4 linked regions of the Caenorhabditis elegans genome follow. The protein of the gene in region 2 interacts with the protein of the main gene of each other region in a pairwise test. Each region holds a gene or a part of one and is shown on either strand. Other genes may lie near its edges. The genes, in order: F48G7.10, crim-1, tyr-1 and gip-1.

Region 1 (3,555 bases), 9.7 Mb from region 2:
AACGGAGGAAATAAAACTTTGGCACCGATGTATTAATGGTCGGCGAGGGGAAGTGTATGAATATTAATGATTTCGACGTTGATATTTCCTTCTGCACACACCACTCAATGGATCAGTTGAAGCCGTGAGTAATTTTGGTTGAGCTAATTGTAAATTTTTAAATTCAGATTTCTCCTTGCCGGGATCAGTAGTTGGACGGCTATTATAGATGCTCTGATTCTATTGGTACCAACAAATGTTGAGCTCAACTACATGTTTATTCAACTGTGCTTAAAGCCTATGCTAAGAAAAGTTGAAGGCCAGGACCTGGAAATCATTGAAAAAATACTTCAAGTTCAAGCAGACAATCTCCATAACTACTACATGAACAGAATGCGAACCCCTCACTATTCGGACCGCTTGACGAAAATGATGAAAATTGTTCGATTGCTGGAAGCCCACATTCGGGAGCTGAAAGAAAAAGCTCACATTGCAAAAGTGTTTGACGTATTTTCAATCGAGTTCTCGCATCCGGAAATGTTTGAATACTTTTAATGTGTTTATACAAGTATTTATCTCACGGGTAAACTTTCTAGTCTTATAAAAATATTGAAAATTCATTTTTTTTTGTTATGGAGAAGAAGAAAAATAATGAAAGAAAAAGAGATCAGGGTGGTAAGAATCAGCGTGAAATGTGTTTTCTAGGCAGGCAAAAAACGCCTACCTATGTGCCTTATAGGAACATATTTCGGCATTTTTATGCTGCCTAGAAGGTATTTTTAGATATCATAAAAACTTATTTGAATTATTGGCTTGAAACAATACAATTGTGAACCGCCTTCTCCTTACAACGATGGTGCACATTTGCCAAACAATCCGAGCATTGAACGCCTTGCTTGGAGAGCCCGTAGAGCAGGCTTCCACAGTGATCACAGAACGTTGGTCGGGTGTAGAAATGCTTGTTGAAGTGATGATTGGTGGAGACTTGGGGCTCAGTGGGCGATGGGATCCTGTGCCGAAGCTCTCCAGAATCACTGGAAAGCTCTTGTGGAGGTGGCTGGCGGGGAGATGATGGGCCGAAGTTGCAACGATCGTTTATTAAGGAATGGCAGCGTTTGTGAACAACAGTTTCACAGCCTGAAAATTAAAAATGACTTTAGTATGTACATATGCCCAGTTTTTAGCATCCGACACAGATACATACAGGCCCCGGTGAGAAGCTTAACGTAAGTCTTAAGTCTTGTTCTACTCTTGCCCGAGTTCAAAACGCCACAAGGGAATTTAAGGTCTAAATTCACAGCTGGGTCAGACTCGAATTAATTTTTCAGGGCTTAATAAATTTTCCAAAATTTAAGGAATTGTATTAAATTCAAAAAACTTACCCAAACACCTGTAGCCTTGTTTTCCGAGTCCGTAGATCAACTTGGAGCAAATTGCACAGCAGGTTGGCTGAACAAGAGCCGTGGCCTTGAACCTGTGCCCGGAAATTTCGTGGATTTTTGATCCATCCAATTGACGATCAATGAATGGATTTTCAAATTGTGGCTCGGTGGACATTGTTGGTACGGGTAGACGTGAATGAGCGAAAAACTGCTGTAGATTCAGTTGAAAATCCCGATACTCTATTTATATCTGACTCTGAGGCGCCGCCTACTTTTTGCTTGTTTGTTGTCTGCGCTCTCCACGTTCTCTAATGGTTCTTTACAACGTAGGGACGAAAAAAAAACAAGTTCAATTGGTGAAGTATGGGAAAAATGTTTGAAATAGTTCATATGAACTCAAAATAAGAATTTATGATAGGGAAATCTTTCCAAAACAAATTTGAAATTTTTTTGTGCAGTCAAAAGTGGTGAAAACTCAAAGTGGTCACACAATTGCAATCTAACAAAATATTGACAGGAAATTGTTAAAATCTAAATCTTTTGGGTTCTTTTTCTTTGAAGATTTTTCACTATTAGGGCTAAACTTTTTCAAAATAAAGAAACATCAGAGTATGAAAATTTCACAAAGAAAACAAATTGTATTAAATTTGTATTAAAAAAAATTTCTTCAAAAAATTTGAGGATACATTAGTAGCTGATTTTCAACAACTTATTGAAAAATTTATATTGAAATGTAGGAAAATGTGAGTTGAATTTAAAAATTATTTTTATCGTTAAAAAGTTTATTATAAAATAATCAAATATAATAGTTGCGTTATTAGCCGAAAAAAATATACGGCATTTTCAATGCAAACGGTAATTTCCTTTCTCTTATGAGGTTTTTATAAATTTTCAGCAAAAATTGCATTTTGAGATTGATTCTGAAATGCAAGTTTTTGTACTTTTGCTAACGATTTACACATCAGCCCAGACCAAAAATTACTGTCAGTTTTAAGATGGTACTATTAATAAAAACCGTGCGATTAAACTGTCTAACCAATTTTCCAACACTGTTTTCTTCCCACGAGACGAGTGTCTCCGTGTACGCGGCCGACACAAAAAGCGTGTCGAATACGCATTTTGTGACCTCGCTGGACACGCAGAGTGTGAGAGACCCGTCATATGTTAGACGTATTGTGAAAAATAATCAAATTTTTTGATACGATGAATTACATCTAATTTGGATTCACTGGTATCTCGCACTTTAAGGTTCAATAATGGATTCTAAAAAATCTAAATGAAGAGGGTTGCTAACAATTATTGTTTCCGGAAAACACTAACCATTTCTTTAAAAAAAATCACTCATAGGCTTTATAAACTTTTTTTCAGAAAAAAAACATTTATGTAATGGTCAAAAAATTTCCGAAAATCACCAAGTTACTACAAGGGTAAATTTCAGAAGTTAACAGAGTTGCCGATCAACGGTGTCATTTTTCGAGTTTTAGCTTTGAAAAATCGTAAAACCGACACTCTCGTTTCCAATTGCCAAAAATGTCCAAATCAGACAGTTTCAAAAATTTTCTAAAATTCCTATGATTGTGGTTTTCTAAAATTCCTATGATTGTGGTTTTCTAAAATTCCTATGATTGTGCCTGGAAATGAAGAATTATCAAATTGAATTTCTCTTTGCACGCATGGAGGACACAAAAAACCGATTCTCATTCCCAATTCTATTGCTCATCTCTAATTCTCTACCTCCCTAGTGTTCTTCGGCAACATTGAACATTGAACAAACAATTTTTTCGTCTTATCAAAACTGTTTCGGATTTTCATAAAATTTACCCTTCCTCTAATGTTAGTATACTTCTTATTTTTTGAATTACAGAAAAATGAATGGGTGCCAAACTAGTTCTAACGATATTTGTCAAGAGTGTGATGTATCCGAAATTGGACAACGCTCCTCAAATTGCCAAATTGCTTCGATCAGAGCCAACGAGGAAATTTTACTGCGAGCAATACAGTTGGAGGATCAGAGAATTAATGATTCGAAGAAATACTTATTTTCGACGCATACCAGAGAAGTGATTCAAAAATTCCACAAGACTTTTGAGCCGCTGGATGACGTTCTGAGAAACTTAAACGAGATTTATATAAAAGTGAGTTGTATCAGACAAAATGCAAATTTAAGTCATTCCTTGCAGTGTATACCTGAAGC
Region 2 (4,602 bases):
TATCTTTTATCACACCGTTCCTTACCGGTTTCTTATTTGAGGCAGCATGTATTTCAATGAGACCTCCATGAGACGTTTTTTTACCTTTTCCCGTCTAGACCCGCATAATCTAAATGGTTTCAATGTTTCCTTTTCCATCTCTCATCGACTCGTTTTTTGTCTATTTTCTTGTCCTCGTTCACTCAAGTTGATAAGAGCATTTTGAACACATAAAAAATTTACTATGGCCTAAACCAGGCGATTTTTATTGAGTTTTCATAAGAATCGTTTTTTGTGGAACATTGTGTACTTTTTTAAAGTTAAAGAAGTATTATTTCAAATTTAATACGATTTGAATGCTCTTCGATCATTCGGCTGATTGGCATGTCTTCCTAATTAATTGGAAACTTCTCAATAGAATACCACAAAATATAGCACTACCCTTATTGATATACTTTAAGAAACTATTTCTAGGTTTTCTTCGGCTTAAAAATGTAGCACATAAATTTGGTGCCAATTACTTTTTGATATTTTAGTATTGACAAAATTTGTGATAATACCAAGGATAACCAAATATGAGCTGCCAAGATAGAGCATTAAATGTACAAGGCTAATAGGGAAAGTACCGTAATCTTTTTGTAAGGTTGACACGCTTAGCGACCAGTTTTCTGTGTGTTTTTCAGGGTTTCATTTTCTCCAGATTTCAAATATTCCAGGTTTCCTGCTCCTCAATATTCTTTTTTTCTGCATTTCAAACGGTAAATTCTTTAGTGAACGTTGAAGATAATTCCGGAATCATTTGAAAGTTGAATTCTTCAAATGAACATTTTGCACGAGACGTAATAGTTTTATCAGTAATAAAATCACTTGTTATTTTTGAAAACTAGATAACTTCTCTTCTCTTGAAAAACTGTGGAATAAAACAAATAGTTAAGTAAAAACTGTTCTTTTGAGTAGGTAGCATAGGAACATCCACCTATTTTTTTTTGTTTGATCTGGTTCTAGTTTCTAAAGTAAACATGAATAAACTTAGAATCTTTGATGAAAGTCATTATCAATGTTATAACACGGAACTAGGTCTCCTTTGTCAAATGAACTGAGTGTTTCTTCTTAATTATGTTGTTGTTTCTTTCTATTGAATTGCAAAACAAAGTGTTCTAATCCATCGGGCGCCAGTTCGGTATACTACGAGCTTCTGCTACCATCTTTCTGTCTCCGCGCACCTTCATCATTTTGTCTTTCGCCCAATGTCAACAGACCTTTTTTCGTCTCCCTGCTTGCTCGCTTGTGTTCTTTCTCTTTGACAGTGCAGCTTCTTCACCGATCGACTCGGATCACTTTCGTTGTCTATAACCTCTCTGATTCTTGTGCTTTACCGTCGTGAAGATCCCGCGCAGTTCGATTTTCAAAGGCGGGGCCTGCACAGACACAGTTCATTTCAAATTGGGACACTACGAGACGGTCTCTCTGTTTCTCGTTTTACTTACTTTTTCATTTGAATTGAAATCTTAGTTACATGGTCCCAAAAAAATCGACAAAAAATTTATATACATGACTACAATTTTCATATTTTTCTTTGCAGAGCTTGTGGGCCGTTCATCACGCGGCTTCTCCGCTGAACGGCAAAAACGGTTATGCAGAATTGTTGAAATGCAGTGGTCAAGTAGTATTATTTTACTCTTCACATTTCTTATCATTTCCAATGCAAAAAACCAAAAGACCACATTGTGCGGGACATGTGACAAGGATTCATGTCCAGATGTTTCAGGATGCGAGCAATTGAAAAAGGATCAGTGCGATTGCTGCGAAGTGAGTAATTTAAAATTTTGATAGAAAACGAACTATGGTTTAACAATTCTTTAAAACTTATTTTTAAAATTAATTTTAATATTCTAGTTCCTCAGTTTTAATTTTCTTTTTAAAATTCCAGAACATTGAATGTGAGCTTTTGAAATAATTTTCCACAATTTCTCATGACTAAAATTCTAACTATTATCATAAATCCCCAATAACTTAATTATTATTGGACAATGATCAAATGAACAAATGAAAGGATCAAATGCTCAGTGAAACAACTGAATAAAGATGAGCTTTAATGTATTATGCTACACAGTCAAATCAGTACCAAAACGAAGAACCGTTTGATAGAAACGCATAATTCAGATACCGTGTATCCTCTTAGAGCTCTTATTCCTCTTATTCCTATAATGAAATTGCACATAGATAGGTTCCCGATAATTAGTACTTTTTTTACTAATAGAGGAAACACGGTACATTAAAAATAATCCTAATTGCTTTGAAAGTGGTTCAACTTTCTAAGTTTCAAATGATAATAACTGTCCCTTAAATCTTACTTTCGGTTTTTAAACCGCGGTTTTAGTTATAATTTTGTTTCTACAAAAAGAAATACACTGAATAAACTTAAACATAAGTCAAAAGTCTATAAAAAAGTATGTGCGGTCTTTTTTAACGGCTTTCAAACAATAAACAAAAAGTTATACTTGCAGGTCTGCATTCGACAAATCGGTGAAACTTGCGACGGGCCTGGTCTTGTTTGTGATTCGCATCTTTCATGTCATCAGGAAAACGATCTTGATGGTTCAAGTCGATGTAAAGGTATATTTTCTTCAATATTTCAAAGTCCCTTTGCATGTTTCATTCGATTTGAAAGAACTTTGGTTGTTTTTTCGAGGTCCAGAATGCTTCCTAATTAAAAAGAAAAGGGTGCTCTAGAGTTACTATTGGGCTTATTTTATTGCTGAAATTTGATAGGGTTTCTTCTCAGTCTCTCTATCTCTCTCTCTCTTTCATTTTCTCTTCCTATAAAAAATGACTTCTCAAAATGGTGGCGGTTCTCTTGTGCTGAGGCTTCTCGTGTGTGCTCGCCGGACGACGCAATCCACCCTGCTCTCCCGAATATACAATTTCTATTTACTTTACTTCACTCTGCCCGCAGTTTTTTAACCAAAAAGTCCTCTATGTTGTGTCCGCAGATAGGGCGGCTTGCAAAGGTAGAAAATGGGTTGGACTAACTTGAGAATTGAAACGATCTTGTTGTGGATAAAAAATCGGACAATGTAGGCAATGGGGATATCAAGTAATTGAAATATTGCAAGGATTCTGAGCATACCAAAACTTGAATGTTGTTAAAAAATACTTAGATTGTTCAAAAATAAATTGTTTTTATCAATTTCTTTCAAGATCTAGAAAAGGAGTGAGCTAGAAAATTCTTGATTGCGGCATGTTGTTCCAATGTTTGGTAATTGGAAGATTTTAAGCCATCATTAAGCACCTCCCAACTCCTTTAACTCAAAATGAAAAGTTTATAGATTATTAAAACATTTTCTACATTTTTACTGAAATATAATGGAACAACGAGCCACGATCGGCCTTGTTGTAGAATTTCCGTCTCAACCTGATCTCGAATTATTTTATGCTCAAGCACATTTGGTTTTGTCTGGATTTTCAGTTCAAAAATGTACTCCTTCCTGTATTTGTCTATTCCGTGTTGTTTCGTTCAAGATGCCATCAAACTTTAATTCAATTTTCGAATTATGATTGCATAGGAAACAGAAAATTTCAAAAAAAAAAAACGGAACGAATGACTAACCAATTGCGCGACACCGAAAAAGAACAGAGTTTCGAGAAGTGTCTAACCTCTGTCTCCCTCAATTGACTCCGCCTACTTTGTCTTCAAGTGTTGCATAGAGTTGGCCATATGCGGGACGACGTAAATCATTTCGATAATTTTTTTACGGAAAGAAGAGCTTGGTGTCTTGGAGATTAGTAATGGTTAAGCTTCTTTTCATGAAATTTTTTTTTCTATTTTTGTCATCGGCAAATCTTTCTGCTTCTCATTTGAATTTGAAAATGTCTTAGTATATATCAAAAATTATGTGTACATACTTTGAAATTTCAAAATGGCTATTCCCGACATTTCTGTGCTTAAATAACAAGGAAAAATCAGAAAAATTTGATATACAAAAATTATTTTCAACAAATAAAAATAAACTTGTTTGAAACTTCAAAATAAAAATGCCTTTCATTATTTTCTATATTAACTGCAATGAATTTGGTTTCACTATGTAATATCTGTTGTTTCAATTTAGACAAACCGAATCCATTGCTTATAATGTATAAATTGTACTTTGTTTTTCTGCATATTGTAACTTGCCACTTCCATAAAACGCCTTTCATCGTAATGTGTACCAGTTGATTTTTGCTTTGAAATGCATAAAAATGGTTCATATGCCTTGACCAACTTGAAATTGACCCTGTCATCTGCAACTTTTTTGTTCTTCAGTCATCACCAAGTATCTTCTCGGTGTCCACCTGATCAGATGTTCTCATGTTTTCAAATCCTTCTTTCTTTTTTCCATGTGATTTTTGTGTATTTTTGTGCTCTAATCCTCTTTCTCCTACTCACTATATTTACAGCTCGAGAATGCAACTAGTCGTCTGCGTCTTTCTACTTCTCTTCTCATTTGTCAATTTTCTCCGAACGGAGCAATCAGGTGTGCTAGAAGGCATTCTCTTCTTGAACAGATATTGTCAAAAAGAAATTAATAGAGTCAAAATAAGTGACAAAGGGGGTGATGGCGGTAACCACAGAACAGAAGTTTT
Region 3 (5,492 bases), on a different chromosome or scaffold from region 2:
GGCTAAATGATAAGGCTCAGGTATGTAATAGTTCAGGTTAAGCTTGAAAACTTGAAAACTTCAAAATAACAAGAAAAGGTTCTAAATTTACACTCAGCCTTCTTGACGAGTCATGTTTTAGTTAACACCTCAAATTTCGATCAGAAATTTTTCAGTACCTGTATGTAGAATTGTTCCAAAATCTTTTTTTTTGTGGGTTTTTGATTTTGTAGGATGCTTAATAATTAGGTGATCATTCTGGAAGTTTTTTTCAATTTTTAATATTCTGAAAAAGTCTGAAAACATTCTTGCACAGCTATTTAAACTTCAGGCTTACATCTTTTTTCCAAAAAAGAAAAGATTTTAAAGAAAATGTTGAGCATAGCATAGCAAAGCTAGTTTTTGACCTAAATAAAATTAAGAGTTGCTCGCGGTACTTTTTCAAATATTTTTGAACTCTGAAAAAAAAAATTCTGAAATTCATATCTGCAAGGTTTCCCTAGTTGACCTACTAGACATTTGACTATTTACTGACTCATTCTATGTAATTGTTTCTAGGCCGTGATCGTCGCGCAATCATCAAATTGACGTCAATCTTTTCACGAATTCTATCCGTTTTTTTCTTCAAATTTTAGGGTTTTCTCGAGGTGATCTTATCATTTTTTTTTTCTCTTGAATCTTTCCTCGCAACCATCATGTGTTCGCCAAACAATTGGCTCCACCCCCTCCGACGCGTGAACTTTCGAAACTGAATTGAATCAACAATTAGCATCTGAACGAGGAATCCCAAAGAAACCGGCAAAATTTAATAAAATAGCGCAAAATTAAGAGAGGGTGGACAGAGAAATGAGCTATTTTTGTAGTTTTGAGGTAGAAGGTGTAAATAAAAAGAATACGCAATCGAGACGCACGAAGGTCAATTCGAATGGAATTTCTTATACTGTCTCCCAATATTGTATACACTCTCGTTTTTCACTTTTAGCTAGAAGAGAAAAGTGGGAGGCAATGGTCAGAATTGGAAATTCTGAATTATTCGGTCACTTTTTCAAATCATGGTAGAAGGTTTTGAGAGATTTTTTTAAAATGAATACCTAAAAATCTAGGACTACTTTCAGCACTTTCAGTAGCATTCTGTCAACTTTTCAACTTCGACTACCAAACTTTTGTGGAACATTGTTTACTTTCAGTCTAACGTTGCCAACTTTCTCTCTAACTTTGAAAGCTTCCCGTCTCTAGTTGTGAACTTTCTGTAGCACATTGCTTAGCCTATTTGAAAGGACAATCGTTTTAGTAGAATATAGTTGAGATATCAAAATGTACAGATAATGATTTTTTAATCAAGTTGTATTTCTTGTTGTCTATTTTCATTCCTTGTCAACATTCTTACATAAAAATCAATCACTAAACATTTTACCAGAAGGTCAAACCAAATTTTCACCAGAAATGATTTTTTGGAGAACATTACCAAGTTCGGATTTTTTATTTGGTTCCTCATGGTCATCCTCGTCATCTATTTTTATTTTATGCTCTCAAAAGATCCCTTTTCAGACAAAAATGGGTCGGCTTCGTGCCTTCCTTTTGTTTTCCGGCACACTGGCAGTTATTAGCACAGTACATGCCGACTTTAATTGCTCACAGGCTCCTGATTCAGGTAGGGTATTCAGAATACTTTTGCAAAAAATAAATTGACTATTTTATAAGTTTCTTAATGTTTCTCACAACTAGGTTTAAAAGTATAAAAAATTTAGAAAACATAAAACAATTACCAATTCCTTTCCTTTTCAAAAAACAAAGAATAAAAAATTTTCAGACATGGTCCAAACATGCCATATGCTCCAAGAATGGGACAGTGCTGCACGGAAGGCAATTAGAAAACGGCAGGCATTCAATGCAGGTGCTCCAGGAGTTCAGGGGTTTTCTCCATCAAATCCACCACGATTTGCTCCATCAGCTCAAGGATGCATGAATATAGCATGCATCTGTCCGTATATGGGGGTTTGTTTGAATGTTACTTTCATTTTTACTACTTGGCATTTGTTTTCAACTTCTTGTCTAGTCTGTCTAGGCTCAAAAAATATTACCTTGATTCCGAAGTTGCTGAAGTTCGTTCAAGCTATCCTCAAGATAAACCTAAGTTTAATCTTACTCTTGTCAAAATTAGTTCCTAAATAATTTTCTTTAGATCAAACTTGGGCAAAATTTAGGTTTGTCTTAAACCTAATTTTGGCAAATTCTGAATCAAGTTAATATTTTTTATACCACTTGTTCAAAAAGTTTGTACCAAGTGCGAAGTAACTGTGCATTTTAAACTATTTAAATCGTACATTCCTCGCGCCATTATACTTCTGGCAATCTAAGATGTTTCCAAGAAGAAATGTTCAAGACAAAATGCTTGAAAAACAAAAATAAAACAAAATTTAAAAATTCTAGGGACGAATGGCAAATGGATGTATCCTACCAAATGGGCAACCTTACTTAATGGCATATAGAAAAGAGTATAGGTATTACATATTTCATCTAATTTACAAAAAATTTACAAACAAAATTTTAGAATGATGTCAGATAACGAACGACAACGGTGGCACAATGCCCTAATACAATTGAAACGTTCAGGAGAATACGATCGTCTTTCAGTAATGCATCGACAAGTTGGCTCAGCCTCCGGAGCTCATTCCGGTCCAGGCTTCCTTGTCTGGCATAGAGAATACATGAAAAGAATGGAAATTGCTCTTAGAATGATTGATCCAGGAATATCTATGCCATATTGGGATTCTGTTCTAGAATCATATCTTCCCGATCCAAGAGACTCTATTATGTTTGGACCACAATTTATGGGAATGACTGATGCTTCTGGTCAATTGGTTAGTGGTCCATTTGCTGGATTCAGAACACTTGAAGGAAGGCCTAATATTATTAGAAGAATGGCTACTGAAGGGAAAATGTTCACTGAACAAAATATTAATAATTTGATGGCACAAAATGATTTGGTTAGCGTAATGGCTTTCACTGCTCCACAAGGAGGTAATCTATTTATTTATCGAATTTTACTTAAAATTTTGAAATATTGCAGGATGCCCATTCCGTCCCTATTTTGGAGCGCTTGAGTATACTCATGCATCAATTCATTTATGGATGGGCGGAGACATGAAACCACCATCAACATCTGCAAATGACCCAGTCTTCTTCCTCCATCACACATTTGTCGATTTTATTTGGGAAATGTGGAGACAAAATCACCAGAATAGATTTGCAAGAGAAAATGTTCGTTAAAGTTATGAAAAATTACTGTAAAAAGATTTATTTTCAGCAATATCCACCAGACATTGCCGCTTGTGCCAATTCTCAACACTTCAGTTATGCTCAAATGAGACCTTGGGATAAAATTAATCGTGATGGTAAGTTTGCTCTATTATGCTGTCTGGAAAGTCTACTGGAAAGTGTGAATTAATTGACTAGCATACTAAAACAACGATTCCAGATTATTTTTAACTTTGTAAAAAATTTGAAAGTGTAAAAAGTTTCCAATTTTCTTCAGGTCTCTCGAATGCCTACACTGATAATTTGTATCACTATGCTCCTCGTCCAACGTGTAACCGTAATAATGCCAACTGCGGATCTCAATATCTGTTCTGTGATACACGTGGCAATCCACATTGCGTGGCAAAGGTGAAGCCAGGTGGTTTGTGCCGTGGATTCGAAGGATTAGATTCTTGTTACATGGGTACATGTGTTGCTGGATGGTGTAGAGGTGGACAACAGTTCCAACAGGTACGACAACTTTTTATGTAGCTTAAGTTTCAGATTTTTTGAACATGAATCCATACTTGATAAAAATTTCAATTATATACTTTTATACCCGTATTAAAAAAACTCAAACATTAATATTTTTAGCCAGCGCAAACCACTGCAGTGGCTACTGTTCAACAACCTCAGCAGCAGCCCCAGCAACAGCAACCACAGCAACAGAGACCAGCCACAACCCCACAATCTGTAAGCTAATCCTCACTGGAACACGTGCAAAATGTCTAATATTTCAGAATTGCTACAACGAAGATCCATGCTGTAATCAGTGGTCTCGTCAGAATGAGTGTCGAACAAATACAGTTTACATGAATAGATATTGTAGGAAATCTTGTGGATTGTGTCAGTCTAATGATAACAATAGAGGTGTGTTTTGAGTAGCAAAAATGGGATATTTTATAAAATCTCAACGAGCAGGTGTATCTAGAAATTCCCAGAGAGGCCTCCCCGTCTACCTAAAATGAAAACCTAGTTTCTAATAGTTAGTCTCAACTGGGTGGAATTACTTGAGTCAATTTTGAAATATTTTGCGTTTTATCATAATAATCGAAAACTTCCTATGTAATTATAAAACCAAATGAGTTCAGGATGTCATGATCGTCACATATCTTGTGCCTACTGGCGTGGACAGAACTTCTGTACCCGCCGTCGTCAATGGATGGCTGAAAATTGTCAAGCAACATGTGGATGGTGCAATATGAACGAAGCTCAATTATGTGCATCAGTTGCTCGTCAATCAAGAAGAGTTCGAAGAAATGCAAAGTTCTGGCTCACTGAGCCAGATGCAGATGACTTTGTTGATGATTTTATGCTTGATTATGGACGATAATCACTTTTCGAAATTTTTTAAAAATCTTTACTGAAAATTGTCATTTTCACCCAACCAATGTGTATCACATTCTCTCTACGTGTCGTTTTCCTTCCCAAAATCCTTCCGAACTTTCTTCAAAACAATTTCACACCTGCCGAAATCACAGTTGATCCGGGTTTTTGTACAAACTGATTTCCAACACCCCCTGCCCCTGATTTGTTTTCTTATTTTCCAAGAAAATTAATAAAATATGTTTGATCTTTTTTTAAAGCTTGTAACCTGCCCTTAATATAAACCAGTGTAACTATTAAAAATCGTACGAGTTTCTAATAAAAATAAACCCTGATTTTATTAAGAAAAATGAATTTCAAATGTTAAAAAATCTGAAAGGAACATGGGAGATGAAAAGTGAATGACAAAATCAATATAGTTTGGTGATATGTTCGACCGGTTTTCTTTTGAGATCTGGAACAAGCACGTCTTCTGACGCATAACCAAGAGGAAGTAGCAGTAGTATCTGCAATTAACCACTTGGATTGTACTATACTCTATCATCTGCTTACACTTTCATTCTCAGGCCTCCTCAATATTCTTGAAATATCGGGTCCTGCATTCAACGGTGACGTCACTACAGTACTCAATCCAACATTCTGAATTGCAGCCAAAAGGATGCCAACAGCAATTGATGTGCTTATTTGATTATAGTGGAATACCCGTTCTGTTTTACTATGCACGTCACGAAATATCTGAAAACCAGATGTTTGAGGATTGATTTTAAGATTGTTTTGAATCAAACCTCATGACAAACAATTAATAGATATGGAGCATCTGTAATGTATGGCCTCCGCCACGTGTCTTGTAATTGTGATACATCAACTACCCAAGAAGCTCCTTTTCTGGA
Region 4 (4,597 bases), on a different chromosome or scaffold from region 2:
CTTTTCGGCGTAAAAAACGCTAAATTTGTCAGTTTTCCGCAAAAAATGCTCGAAAATCCAAAATTTTGTGAAATTTCTCTCAAAAAACGCGTGAAAAACGCTATTCAAAAAAGTGCAATTTTCAGCTTTTTTTTACTAATTTTTTCTTTAAAAAATTCAAATTTTTGACTGGATTTCTTCAAATTCTCCATTAAAAACGGGTTTTTACTCAGAAAAGAGGGGAAAAACCAGGAAAATTGAAAAATTTTCATATTTTTCGACTGAAAAATGCAAAATTTTGTGAAATTTCTCTCAAAAAACGAGTGAAAAACGGCAAAATTTACAAATTTTTCTAAAAAAAAATCGGAAAAACGCGAAATTTTCATGTTTTTTTTCGGCTAAAAATTAAAATTTCCATTTTTTTTTTTGCAGGGTCGGTGTGTGATTTGTGGTGGCGCTGGCGTCAGTGATGCATATTATTGCAAAGAATGCACAATTCTCGAAAAGGATCGTGACGGATGCCCGAAAATTGTGAATTTGGGAAGTGCGAAGACGGATTTGTTCTACGAACGAAAGAAATTCGGATCGAAAAAGTCGTAGAAATTGGCTTTTTGGCGGCGAAAATGAGCGAAAAATCACAAAATTTCGCCGAATTTTCACCTATATCACCTCTAATTTATCAAAAATGTTCCAATTTTCTGTTAATTTCCACTTTTTTCCGCTGAAAATTCCTATTTTTCTTGAAATCTGACTGAAATTTGGCTAAAAATGAGCTGGAAATATCGAAATTTGGCTGAAATCGTAAAATTCCCTTTTTGTTCCCTGAAAATTGAGCAAAAATGTCAAAATTTTGGCATTTTTGACCAAATTTTGCCTATTTTTGTGAAAATTTGCCTTTTTTTTTCGTTGTTTTTATCGAAATTTTGCTGAAATCGCGATTTTTTCCACTATTTTTCCCTAAAACATCCCTTTTTTACTGGAAATTTGGGCAACATTTTGGCATTTTTGCCTATTTTTGTGAAAATGTTACCATTTTATTGAAAAATTAGCTTAAAATGACAATATTTTCCTAAAAATTTCGAATTTCCGTGAAAAATAGCCAAAATGTCACTTATTTCAGTTAAAAATATGCCATTTCCCTGAAATTTGGCTGAAAATTCGCCTATTTTCACTTAAAATTCCGCAAAAAGCCCTTTTTTTCACTCAAAATGTTCAATTTTTCCCTGAAATTTGCCTGAAAAATCGATATTTTCACTCATTTTCACCTTAAAAATTGTCTTTTTCCCCCATTTTTTCCAATTTTCCTCTACCCTTTTATCAATTTTCGAATAAATTATCGATTTTTCTGTAATTTTTCCCTTTTTTTGCTGTGTTGTGCTGGTTTTGTTACCTATTTGTGTATATTTATCTCTATTTTTTACGGGAATTTTCAGTTTTCCCCGAATTTTTCTGAATTAAAATCACTAAAAATCGATTTTTCTTCCTGAAAATTGGGTAATTTTGCGAGAAATTTAATTTTTGTTTAAAAAAAAACTAAAATCTGAATATTTTTTGGAGAAAATTAACCAAAAACTTGAAATTTTATGAAAAAAAAATGGAAAAATTTCAGATAAATGCGTCGACAAGGCAGCGAAGAAGTTGAAGCTGTACAGCAATTTTTAAATGCTTTCGGGTTTCATGATAGAGGTAATTGGATTGAATTTTAGAAGAAAAAACACCGAAAAAGCCGAAAAATTGACTGAAAAATCGAATTTCTGACGAAAAAATGAGATTTTCCATAAAATATCAATAATTTCAAGTAAATATTCGAATTTCGAGGGGTACGGTAGCACCAAAAGTACGCAAACACTGTGGTACACCAAATCTTACGACATTTTGCAGAAAAACTCCTGAAATTATAATAAGAGTTCAGATTTTTTTCATCAAAAGAATATATTGGTGGCCGAACTCCTTGGATTTTTTTAGGCCACGATTTTCTGAGCCAAAAATTTTATTTTGAATTTTTCGTTCAAATCTCGTTTTTTACTAGAGAAACTCCAATTTCGGCTTTTTTTCTCTTGGTTGCCTAACTTTTTTTTTAGATTTCTAGGCCACCCATTAAAAATAGACCGTTTTATTTGATTTTCTACATAAAAACGGGGATTTTGAATTTTGAATAATTCAAATTTTAAAACCAAAATTTTAATTTTAAGTCTTTTTTTTTTTTGAGATATTTGAAATTTTCTAGACGGTTTTTTGGTGATGAATCGGTTTTTATTAGAATTTCAACTATAAAAACCGAATTCTAGTCAGTTTTTGGATTTAAAATCAATTGGTGGCCGAACTTGTTGGATTTCTAGGCTACCAAACTTCTGAACATTTTCCCCTGTGACTCTTGTGCCTCTATTCGTATTGATTGCAGTAAAAACGGGTATTTATTCACATTTTTAGCCTTAAATTGGCTTAAAATGTGAATAAATACCGTATTTCTGCAAACAATTTGACAATAGAGCACATTTGTCACTTGGAGATGCGGAAGCTATGCCCAAATTTTCATTTTCAAGCCGAAAAACTTGTGAATTTTCGCGATTTTTGCACAAAAAAAACCATTTTCAGCCGATTTTTCCGTAGAAAAACGGATTTTTAATCAAAATTTTGCAATTTTCTGTATTTCAGATGTGATAAAAGTTCAAGAAGGGCTATTCCACAGCCGTCAGCTCAACGATGTGAACGCTTCGAGAACATGTGTAGATCAATTTGTTAAGAAATGTATGAAATTCCAGGGAAAAAACCAAAAAAAAAAGCGGCAGTTTTCCAGGCGAACTTCGTGATCCGAACGGAATAAAACCGCTTCGCAAAAAAATCGATGCTCTGATGAACGAATCGGTAGAAATGAATTATATGATGGATTTTCTTGTGAGATGTCGACAGGCTCACTTATTTCATAATGAAACAATAAGAAATAGTCCGAGTATTGGTCTGGGATCCATTGGAGGTACCCCGACCAATTCGATTCCATCCTCATCGCCGTTTCAAAGAAGATCTGCAAGTCGTGGACGGGTGCTCAGCACGCTGAGTTCGGTGTTTTACCGGTTTTAGCCGCGAAAAATTGTGAAAAAACGGAGCAAATATCACTGAAAAGTCGATAATTTATTTGAAAATTGACATTTATTTTCATTAAAAATTCGAAAAATTAGACATTTTCGGTCAAATTTGACCTGAATTTTATAAAAATATTTTTTTTCTCCTTAAAAGTTGAAGATTGTGCTTATTTTTGTTCGATTTTCGAGAAAAAATGCTGAAATAAAACCTACAAAAATGTGGAAAATTGAAAAAAAAAAGTTTTTTTTTTCATTAATTTTCAATAGAAAAAAAAACGAAATTTTTGCCATGATTAAGTGGCCGAACTTTTTGGATTTCTAGGCCACCAGTCGGAAAACTCGGATTTTTAGAAATTTTTTATTAAATTTCTAATTCTCAAGCAACAATTATTGCGTTTTTTTTCATTAATTTTTTTTTAATTTTTGAGGCTTTTTTTTGGCGAAGAGTCGCTTTTTAATCGAATTTTGAATATAAAAACTGAATTCTATGTGGTTTTTGGATTTAAAATCATTCGGTGGCCGAACTCTTTGGATTTCTAGGCCACAAAATTTTTGAACTATTTTCCCCTGTGACTTATGTGCCTCTACTCGTTTTTTTTTGTTTGCACTAAAAACTGTATTTATTCACATTTTCATCCTCAAATTGGGCTGAAAATGTGAATAAATACCGTATTTCTGCCAACAATTTGACAATAGAGCACATTTGTCACTCGGAGATGCGGAAGCTATGCCCAAATTTTCATTTTTCACCCGATTTTTAGCATATTTTTGGGGTTTTGATGGATTTTAAGTGTTGAAATCGGTTTCAGCTAAGAAATTTTCGGTGACCGATCTTTATGGAATTCTAGGCCACCAAGCTGATTTTGAGCCAAAAAGCTATGCTCAAATTTTTATTTTCGCAATAAGATTTGCAATTTTCCATAGAATCATTCCACAAAAATCAAATTTTGAGCAAATCCCCAAACACTGTGGCCTAACTTTTTGCAAGTTTTTAGGCCACCCATTAGAACTTTGGCGTTTTTTCTCGAATTTTCTACAAATTTCTATGTAAAAATGTATTGAAATTGAGAAAAACTACAAATTCAAGCCTATTTTCGCTTTAAAAATCATGAAAAATCATTTTTTTTTAATTGGAAATTCACAGAAAATTGGCGAATTTTTCCATAAAACTAGTGAATTTTCCAGCCGGAGACCAACAAACTCCATCAATTGCCGATTCATCGTCTCGTTCTCGTGCCAATTCCTCATTTACTGCCTATGACAATCGAATGCTTGGAATGGAACGCCAATTGGCTGGAAATATGGCTCAACGGCCACGGAGTCCGTATACAATTAATGGAATACCAACTACGAGGGTTCAGCCGATTAGCGCCAGCAATCAGCTTTTTACGTGCGTAATTTTCGAGAAAATTTGAGGAAATTTGGTTGAAAATACCGAATTCACCGCTAATTTTCACCCCTAGCACACTTTTTCCGGGTTACTGTAGCTTTAAAAGTACGCCAACACCAGATCTAACGACATTTTTCAGAAAATCGCG

What was found.
Region 1: the proteins of crim-1 (region 2) and F48G7.10 interact in a two-hybrid assay, tested with the Caenorhabditis elegans proteins (one large-scale study listed by BioGRID).
Region 3: the proteins of crim-1 (region 2) and tyr-1 interact in a two-hybrid assay, tested with the Caenorhabditis elegans proteins (one large-scale study listed by BioGRID).
Region 4: the proteins of crim-1 (region 2) and gip-1 interact in a two-hybrid assay, tested with the Caenorhabditis elegans proteins (one large-scale study listed by BioGRID).

The regions. Positions count from the first base shown.
Region 1 is NC_003283.11:633,358-636,912, forward strand, and holds F48G7.10 (Phorbol-ester/DAG-type domain-containing protein), read right to left. Parts: upstream 1,599-3,555; 5' UTR 1,537-1,598; coding exon 1,362-1,536; intron 1,117-1,361; coding exon 785-1,116; 3' UTR 544-784; downstream 1-543. Other genes in the region: pals-31 (Protein containing ALS2cr12 (ALS2CR12) signature), read left to right, coding at 3,230-3,496, 3,542-3,555.
Region 2 is NC_003283.11:10,329,072-10,333,673, reverse strand, and holds the start of crim-1 (Cysteine-rich motor neuron 1 protein-like), read left to right. Parts: upstream 1-1,561; 5' UTR 1,562-1,629; coding exon 1,630-1,788; intron 1,789-2,486; coding exon 2,487-2,595; intron 2,596-2,837; exon of another isoform or gene 2,838-2,977; intron 2,978-4,420; exon of another isoform or gene 4,421-4,423; coding exon of another isoform or gene 4,424-4,493; intron 4,494-4,602.
Region 3 is NC_003281.10:7,872,254-7,877,745, forward strand, and holds tyr-1 (Putative tyrosinase-like protein tyr-1), read left to right. Parts: upstream 1-1,527; 5' UTR 1,528-1,533; coding exon 1,534-1,630; intron 1,631-1,789; coding exon 1,790-1,974; intron 1,975-2,409; coding exon 2,410-2,480; intron 2,481-2,530; coding exon 2,531-3,000; intron 3,001-3,049; coding exon 3,050-3,240; intron 3,241-3,286; coding exon 3,287-3,374; intron 3,375-3,514; coding exon 3,515-3,747; intron 3,748-3,870; coding exon 3,871-3,969; intron 3,970-4,016; coding exon 4,017-4,146; intron 4,147-4,367; coding exon 4,368-4,609; 3' UTR 4,610-4,941; downstream 4,942-5,492. Other genes in the region: sup-18 (Iodotyrosine dehalogenase 1 homolog), read right to left, coding at 5,013-5,108, 5,155-5,337, 5,388-5,487.
Region 4 is NC_003281.10:2,346,003-2,350,599, forward strand, and holds the start of gip-1 (Gamma tubulin complex component protein N-terminal domain-containing protein), read left to right. Parts: upstream 1-1,588; 5' UTR 1,589-1,592; coding exon 1,593-1,665; intron 1,666-2,634; coding exon 2,635-2,727; intron 2,728-2,776; coding exon 2,777-3,034; intron 3,035-4,244; coding exon 4,245-4,449; intron 4,450-4,597. Other genes in the region: phf-5 (PHD finger-like domain-containing protein 5A), read left to right, coding at 412-579.